2 linked regions of the Ovis aries genome follow. The protein of the gene in region 2 purifies or fractionates together with the protein of the main gene of each other region. This does not show direct contact. Links are inferred from orthologs where the notes say so. Each region holds a gene or a part of one and is shown on either strand. Other genes may lie near its edges. The genes, in order: IQGAP1 and MYL6.

The links.
Region 1: the proteins of MYL6 (region 2) and IQGAP1 purify together in Homo sapiens (affinity purification with mass spectrometry; 4 studies listed by BioGRID and IntAct, counting the BioPlex papers as one, with this or other methods). This does not show direct contact. The link is inferred for Ovis aries from reciprocal best matches to the Homo sapiens genes MYL6 and IQGAP1.

What each region holds. Positions count from the first base shown.
Region 1 is NC_056071.1:21,521,301-21,525,788, forward strand, and holds the start of IQGAP1 (ras GTPase-activating-like protein IQGAP1), read right to left. Parts: upstream 3,049-4,488; 5' UTR 2,948-3,048; coding exon 2,893-2,947; intron 876-2,892; coding exon 776-875; intron 1-775. UniProt on the Homo sapiens protein: Plays a crucial role in regulating the dynamics and assembly of the actin cytoskeleton.
Region 2 is NC_056056.1:163,379,292-163,383,754, forward strand, and holds the start of MYL6 (myosin light polypeptide 6), read right to left. Parts: upstream 2,989-4,463; 5' UTR 2,950-2,988; coding exon 2,947-2,949; intron 2,677-2,946; coding exon 2,649-2,676; intron 1,785-2,648; coding exon 1,641-1,784; intron 1,441-1,640; coding exon 1,267-1,440; intron 1,176-1,266; coding exon 1,098-1,175; intron 794-1,097; coding exon 765-793; 3' UTR 72-764; coding exon of another isoform or gene 43-71; 3' UTR 1-42. Other genes in the region: MYL6B (myosin light chain 6B), read right to left, coding at 3,558-3,586, 3,741-3,818, 4,345-4,463. UniProt on the Homo sapiens protein: Regulatory light chain of myosin. Does not bind calcium.

The sequences.
Region 1 (4,488 bases), on a different chromosome or scaffold from region 2:
AAAACTCTTGTTTATTAGCACCCTTTGAAACATCCTGGATTTTCATTAGACTTTAACCACAAAACCTCTCATTTTCCCTTGCTGGCCTTTTCCACCAAAGCTCACTTATAGGATACATGATCTGTAATTACATCTATCTACCCGGCAATCTTGCAAAAAACAAAAACAAAAAACAAGCACCAGAACAAAAGAAATGAACCACTGATAGTAAATTGACACCCTAAGACCACAAGGTCTTGGAGCATCTGAAAATGGAAAACAGCAGTTGCACATTAACTTCACGAAGAATGCAGATGACACTGCCTTTGGTAAACAGTCTTTGAATATTGCCAAATGGATGGAGCTACACCCAGAGCACTACCAAGGGGAAAACGGACCCAATTCACATATAAAGCAAAATTAGTAAAGAACCAGCGAAACATTAAGGCCCCAAACTTGAAACCTTAAAAATGCTTTTCTCCCATATAGCTGGTAGTGCCCAAAACATGCACCATAAGCATAAAACCGAACAACACAAACCAGGAAAATTTTCAGTATACGTAAGCGCCCACTGGACATGACTTAGAAACTGAACAAAAGTGCCCATCAGACTGTTTCATGATAAAACTACCATCAAGGCTACTTGCTCCTATGAAAAAAATATCCTAGCTATACTTACTTATTCCTTCAAACAACCTGCCTCCCACAGTCGCATCTACATACTCAACGAGATCTTTATCTTTGTTCACACAGTATCAGCTCCTTTCTCCCAGTCTTCTCTCCAGCCAATCTTTACCTCTTTGCTTCTTCCAAATGACAAAGGTATTCGTAGGCCACATTCTGACGTCTCCTCTCATCCATCTCCTCTGCAGTAAGTCTCTCATTATCCAGGACAGCTAAAACATGAAAGAAAGAATGTAAGCGCAAGAATCTGTAACCCTTCCTGAGCTATCAAAGAATGCCACAGCATCAAATTCCTGCTGGTCACCTGGAGAGTTAGGGTAACGTGTGGATAGCCAGGTGGACTATAATGACTTTCCTTAGATAGGAACCATTTTTCAACTGTTATATACTCATCTTAGTATCTATTTAAAAGTACAATATTATTTTACTTTTAAATACAATAACATATTGTACAGTTGTTACAGTTGTTCAGTTGCTAAGTTGTCCCTCTTGTCCCTCTTTCAACCTCAGGGACTGTAGCCCACCAGCCTCCTCTGTCCATGGGATTCTCTAGGCAATAATACTGAAATGGGTTGCCATTTCCTTCTCCAGGGGCTCTTCCTGACCCAGAGGATCGAACCCATGTCTCCTACATTGGCAGGTGGACTCTACCTGGTGAGCAACCTGGGAAGCCCCCAATATTATGAACATGTACTATATGTACTATATGACTTGAGATTTTGGTCCAAATTTGCGCTAATCTATCTGCCAGACTCTCAATCCAGAGCACTTTGTGCTTTTTCACTTTTTTATTAATCACTAAAGCCAGCAGTCACTGAGACCTAAGTGGCAGTGATTGTACTGTGCTTTTTACATGCATTCTCCCATGGAAGCCCCACAACAATCCTGTGATTATCAAATGTTTTACAAATGAGGAAACTGAGGCTCCATGATCTTTGCCCCAAGGCTAATAAATGATGGAGCCTATATTCAAACCCAGGTGGTCTGTCTCAAAAGCCCCTAAGATTAACTTCAAAGCAACCTGCTTTCTTTTTGGGCATCCAGGAAACAGAAAAAATGCCTAAGTGCTAAATGCCTAATTGGGGTTGGCATTCAATGCCTTTCCCAATTTAGCGGCAACTACTTTTGCTAACTCTTCCCCCCACACTACTGTGTACTCCACACAACTCAGGAGCCAACACACACAGCGCTCTTCTCTTCCATAACTTAGTTCACTCTCTTCCGCTTCACCCTCATGCCTTGCCCCACCCTGCCCTGTCAAACTGCACAGCATCCTGCAAGGCTCTGTTCAAATGTTCCAACTGTGTTCCTACTGCCTTCCCTAAACCCCTCTTCTTCATCCACATTACCTTTTAAGCCTGGTTGGTTCACAGGACACCTTTATCTCTATCCCTCCTTATTATCATTAGATAGTTACACCTGTCTGCCTCCCTAATTAAAACGTTCTTTGAAAGCAGGGTCTGGTCTTACTCAGCTTTAATGTCACAAATTTGACGTAATACCTGGCACAGAACTGTCGAGTGAAATTAGCCTAAAACACTATTCTCAGAATATCAAATAAAATCGGGAACCTCAAGACTCCAAAAGGCCCTCCTTTGGCCAGCGGTAACTATTCCACCTGCAGTTCAGTGATGTCCCAGGACAGGGACAGAAAATGAGATTCGGAAAATGAGGAAGTCAGAGGTATGTTTCTTTTTTTCTTTTTTGTGTCTTCACTTTTGAAATCCTGTCGAGGGAACTAAGCCCGAGAAAGCTGAAGTGACTTGCCCAGGGCCGCACCTCTCAGCTAGCCTGGGGCCGGGCAGGTCTGGACCCTGGATGTACCCGCAGGCAGCGCTCGGGCAGCGCCTTCCCGCGAAGCCCGAGCAGAGCCCGCGTCTCGGGGCTCCGGTTCCCGGGACACGCCCTGCACCGTCCTCCTGCCACCTCACCCTAGGCCGTCTCCCCAATCTCGGTCGAGCTGGGCGGCGGGAGGCGCTGGGTGGGGCCCTCCGGCCGCAGCGCCCGGGACCAGGCGTGGGGGCGGCCGGGGTCCTCCCCGCCGCCTCGGACACCGAGGGGGCGCGGGCTGGGAGCCTCGCCACCCGCCACCCCGTCGCATCGGCTCTTCCGGGTCCGCACGGCCCACAGCCGCCCTGTCCCACCCGCCAGGCCAGCCCCCCGGGAAAACGGCGCCGGGGGGACGGCGAGCCCGCCCCGGGACCCCTGCGCCGCGGAGCCCACACTCACAGCCATAGTGCGGCCGAGCCACGCCCAGTCCGTCAACCTCGTCCGTGGAGGACATGGCGGCCGAGCCCGGGTCTCTGCTCAGGAAGCGGAGAGACCTTAGAGGCGCGGGCGGCGGCGGCGGCAGCTACTGCACAGTGCGCGGGCTGCCCAGGTCCCCGAGGCTCCGCCCCGCGCCGCCGGCCCCACCCGCGGGCCCCGCCCCAGCGTCCCCGCCCTGCCGCGCCGACGGGAGAGGGCGGAAGGAGGCAGGGCCTGTGCCTCCCGGCTCCGCCCCCGGCCCCCTCCCTGCACCCAAAAAGCCCTCTGGAGGCGGAAGGAAGAAGGAGGAGCCTGCCCGCCGACCCTTCTCGCTGGCAGCTCTTCTGGACGGAGAAGACCAGCCCCGGCCCTGGATCTTTGCCCTCCCCGGCCGCCGCCCGATCCGCGCCACTTATCAAAATGCCGCCAGTGTCTGTAGCCTGACATAAAAAACGTGGGCATCTTCCGTTCCCCTTCCCGCCTAATCAAACTCTTCTGCACCAAAGGGCTCAAGGAAGGCCTCCTTTGAAGTGGCCCAGTGTGTTCCTGTGGACACATGCAGGACCCAGACTGCCCTAAGGGGCCGCACAGGCTGGCAGTCGAGACAAGTCTCCCAGCTTCGCCAGCTGTCGCCGGAGTTGAACTGCTTAACCCCTCTAGTATCTGAGAAGTGGATGCTAAAGCAGGAGAGTTGTGTTTGTCCAGATCTCCTTCCCGCTAGATTCATTGCCACTGTTTTTTGCAAGTTCTTCTTTTTAGGGGACTCTTTACCTTTTTAGGAGTGCCTCCTCTCCTTGCAACTTGTGGCCTGCCCTTAAAATATTGGTATGCAACGGAATTCTGGCCTCAGCACTCTTCCGTTTTTTCCCTTGCCCACTTTTTTCTGAATAACTTTATGCACGTTCACCTTAAATTGCTGAAGAGTCGTAAATTTGTATCTCAGATCAGACTTCCTAGAAGCCCCAGTTCAGTATTTTCGGCTGTGTAATGTGGCTCAGACGGTAAAGCGTCTGTCTGCAGTGCAGGAGATCCAGGTTCGATCCCTGGGTTGGGAAGATCCCCTGGAGAAGGAAATGGCAACCTACTCCAGTATTCTTGCCTGGAAAATCCCATGGACCACGGAGCCTGGTAGGTTACCGTCCATGGGGTCACAAAGAGGCGGACACGACTGAGTGACTTCACTTCAATGGACATTTTAACCTATGAATCCCGCAGAAACTTTAACCGGCCGAACCCTGACCCTGCTCCTGTTATAATCCCTATTGTGTATGCCCAGTCGCTCAGTCTTGTCCGACTCTTTGTGACCCTATGGACTGTAGCCTACCAGGTTCCTCTGTCCATGGAATTCTCCAGGCAAAAATACTGGAGTGAGTTTCCATTTCCTCCTCCAGGGGATCTTCCCCACCCAGGACCCTAGCGGGCATCTCCTACATTGGCAGAATTAGGCACTGTTAATTGACAAAAAGTCTAATATAGGATAACTATAAGATTAAGATTATCTGGATTTATGAAATATAATTTAAAAATCCAGCCCCAAGGACTCAACCTCTCTTTTTTGAAGACTTATTGAAAATATTA
Region 2 (4,463 bases):
CCCACAAGGAAGGTGCAGTGTCCACGCACACTGGGAATATCCTCAGCCATTCAGCACCATGCGGACGAGCTCTGTGGAAAGGAGAGGGGGGTGAACAGGAAGCAGGGCGAAGGGGAGGGGTCCGCCAGGGGCCAGGAGACCACAGACCACAAAGGCAGCGTAGGAAGGAATGTGCCCACGACAACCAACCTTGGGGTCAGTTTGCAGTACTCTCGACCCCCAGCTCCCCTCCCACCAGCTGTTAGTTCCCCCTGCCCCACCCCGAGCAGCAAGAACACAGCAGAGGCAGAAGAGTTCCCAACTACACCTACAGCTACTGTCAGCCACTGGGGGGAGGAGGAGACAGAGTTTTGGGTTAGGGTATCTCCAAGCTGCCCAGCGGAAAGAAGAGAAGACCTACAGCAGCACGGTGGGGCAGGCAACCCACCCTCCCTGCCAACCACGTGATCCTGAGCTAAAGGATCACCATGAAGCCAGACGGGGGTAGGTAGGCTGGTGTGAGTTCCCAGACACCAGCACCCTGGAAGCCAACCAAACCTCAGACCCAGTTCTAGGAGAGGAGGAGGTGCCACACCCCCAGGCTGTCTGCCTCTTTGAGGAACCCCTCCCCTCCCCAGTCAGCTCCATGCAGAGGCATGCCGGGAAGAAGTCAGATGGTAGTAGAGGAAGGCAGGGGCTAGAGAGCAGAGGCTGGGGAAAAAAACACTGGGGAGGTCAACTAGAGAAGGGGGGCTGGGAGGAGCCGTACCCGCCCCATGGGCCCGTCACCCCGACAGGATATGCCTCACAAACGCTGCAGGAAGGAAGAGACATTCATGGTGAAGACAAGACATAGACGTGGGGTGAAGGGGTCAGGCAGTGAGGAACTGGACATCCATTTTTACTTCCCATCCCTTTCCCACCCTTCAGGCCACAGGAGCCCTTCCTTTCCTGTCACACCCCTCTGGCCTCCCATTCCTGGGCGGGGCTGGGCCCTGCCCCTTGCCTCCTGTCACTTTTAGGAGCCTGAATCCAGGGACAGGGAAAGCCCTCAGTGCGGTGCATGACCTGCCCCCATATGGCTGCTTCCTCCGTGAGACCGCCGGTTCATCCCTCACCTTCATAGTTGATACAGCCATTGCTGTCCTCATGCCCTGCCACCAGCATCTCTACTTCTTCCTCTGTCATCTTCTCACCTGCAGAGAGGAAGGAAGAGCGAGCATTCTGGATTTGGGTGACACCGAGGTCTCTCAGGTGGCACCTCAAGAAGAAAGGGCAGAGCCTCACCCAGTGTGACGAGAACGTGCCGGATCTCAGCACCCATGACGGTGCCGTTCCCTTCCTTGTCAAACACCCGAAGGCCTTCAACATAGTCCTCATAGGTGCCCTGGTCCTTGTTCTTGGCCACAGTCTGCAGCATGGGTAGGAAGTGCTCAAAGTCCAGTACCTTCACGTTCATCTCTGCCGAAAAGGAGGTGGAAGCTAAGTCATATGTGTTCTCAGGACTGGGGGTTAAGGGGCTCCCACTCCAGGCAGGAGAAATCTGTGGGATTTGCCAGACAAGACCCGCTCGTGTTTGGGGCCTAGGAAGATAAAAGGAAGCTATTAGCTGAAGACTGCGGGCCCCACCACAGTGCAGAGTTGTTCTTAAGGACCCTCACCATCACTCTTGGGGTTCCCCAGGACTTTGAGCACCTCGGCGTTGGTGGGATTCTGGCCCAGGGCCCTCATCACGTCCCCACACTGACTGTACAGGATCTTGCCATCCCCCGTTCGGTCAAACAGCTGGAAGGCCTCCTTGAACTCTGAGGATCCAGATAAACATCAGTATGGGACACACAGATGTTAACCCAAACCCTCCTCCATGGTCCCCACCGCCCATTCAACTTTGATCATGCTGAGGAAATCAGATATTTATAACACTGTACACCCAACCCCTGTAAGAGGGATCCAGTGTCCCTTCCTCCCAACTCAGGTGTCTCACATAAAGACCTGGCCTTCCTCAACGCTTAGCAGAGTGGTTCCGGCCACTTACATACCCTCTCCGCCTGCAGCAAGCCTGCCCAGCCTCCTCATTACACGACTCAGGGCAGGAATTTGCCACCGCCCTGTCTGGGCCCTGTCCTTATAAGGAAGTGGGAGCAGCGGCCTGGGACTGGGGTCATCCCAGCCTGCCACTTCTCACCCCTCTAGTACAGGGTCCTTTCAGAGGGTACTGCTACAAAGAAGTATCCTCAGCAAACTCCCCTGTTGCACTTTCACAAAAAAACAGGTCACTGCTGTTTACAGCCTTTACAATTCCAAGCTGAGGGGACAGGGTAGTTACCACAGGAGGAAAAGAGGCAGAAGTAGCTGATTAAGGAACACAGGAGCACAAACAGCTTAATACACCGTCCCCAAGCCCCACACACAGCAGGCATTAGTGATCAAGTTGTTTCACACAGCCACATCACCTAAAACTCACCCAGTGCTTGGGGATCAGATCTAGAGTAGAAGGGAAGGGAGGAAGAAAGAGTGAGAAAAGAAAATGGAAGATCCAGAAGGAAGGAGAAGGGAACCCACCAGGTACTCCCCTGGGGGTGCTAAAGAGATGACAGGTGAGGGTGAAAGAGCTAGAGGGAGTGTCCCTCTCCCTAACATGACCTCAACAGAGGTCAGCGATTACCTACCTGCGGTCTGATCCTCGGTGAAGTCACACTGCTCAGAGAAGACGAGAGTGGTCAGCATCTTAACTCCAATACCCCCAGCTTCCGTCCCAGTCCCAAGAACTCTGAATCACAAACTCCTATTCCATGCTGGGGACTCGCTTCCCAGCAGGGTAGGATCCCAGACACTCCAACCCCACCTCCAACCTTCGAGGGCCTCAGGTTCATTTACCCGCTACTCTCTGCCTTCTCCCCGCCCCCTCTCCCCGGCTTCCCGCCTTTCGCCCCAAATCCCGCTCATCCTCTCGGCCCCGGGCCCCACCATCTTGACGCTCAGCTCTACGGGACCTTTTCCTGCAGTAATGGCTCCGGTTCCTGGCCCAACCCTAGTCTTAGTACGTCCTAATGACGTCACCCCAGCTGACCCAACCAATAGGGATCCTGGCCCGGGTTTATGCAGATGACGCTACTATATTAGTAATAAAGTGGGCGGGGGCCAACTGGTGTTCAAGTCTCCAGAATAGCCCTACCTGGGGCACAGAAACTGCAGAACAAGGTGGAATGGGGCGCAAGGAATCTGCTCCTCCGAGCAGCGAGAAAGTCAGAGGAGGTCGCATTGGTGGGTGCGGGTGGGAAGAGGAGCCCTCCCTTTCCCTCCCCCACCTCTAAAGAAAGCAAGAGTCGGAAGCTAAGGGAGGAAACGTCTCTTTATTTTGAAACAATAGCCTCCTAGTGGCAGGAACGTGCTTTTGCCTGGTGGGAGCCCAGCGTCCGACGCCACTGCACCTGTGGAAAAAGATGAACGTTGCCAAATCCTGCCGCTGTCGGCGCAGCAAGACACGGAAATGCACTTCCTTGCTTTTGTACGCAGGCAGAGGGACAAGAAGGAGGCTTGCCTCCCAAGGCGCAGTGAGAGTGCCGTACCTGCATTGCTCAGACGCTTAGGATGTGCTTCAGGAAGGCTGCAGAGAGAAGAGGCAAGAGGGGCTTCAGAAGCTGGCCTGATGATAACCCATCTGACTTTAGATAATTCAGGCTTCAGGATGCCTCCACCCACATACCTCGGGCCTCCTGCCTCCCTCTTCCCCAGTCGTTTCTGCTCCTCTGGCCCCTCACCTTCATAGTTGATGCAGCCACTGCTGTCCTCATGTCCTGCCAAAACAGACTCCACCTCCTCTTCAGTCATCCTCTCTCCTGGGCCCAGACACAGTGTTTTAGCCCCTGCCTTCCCTCCCTTATCAACCCATGCCTCTTTCTTCTGGTGGCACCTCCTCTTCTCCCACCCTGGAGACTTGCCCATAGTAACAGTCCCCCAAGAGAATTCCCTCTTTGTAGTGGGCATGCCTTGAATGTGTCTCTGAATCTTGCTTTCCATTTCACCTCAATTATAGGTGGTGAAAGCTTTGACAGACAAGGAAACTGAATTCCAGAGGATTAAAAAACAGACCATATCATAGAGTACAGCCATCTCTTCCTAAGACTGAAACTCAGATTTCCCACCTCGTTCCCTTTCCTCTGCCCTTTGGGAGACAGCTGCAGCCCACTCACTTTAGACTGAAGGAGGAAGACCTTCAGATCCTGTCCCTAAGGCTCTGACCTTCTCAGTCTCCTGCCCATGACCCATAGGACAGTAATCCCTCACTGGCTCTGCTTACTTGGCTAACCTTCTTAGTTCATCCCCTCCTCTCAACACCCCCAGGAGTTCTGGTCCCTGTCTCACCCAGGGTGGTGAGGACATGTCTGAGCTCAGCTCCCATGACTTTGCCATTCTGCTCTTTGTCAAACACCCGAAGCCCCTCCAGGTAGTCCTGGTATGAGCCTCGGTCTGGCAACTTGGCG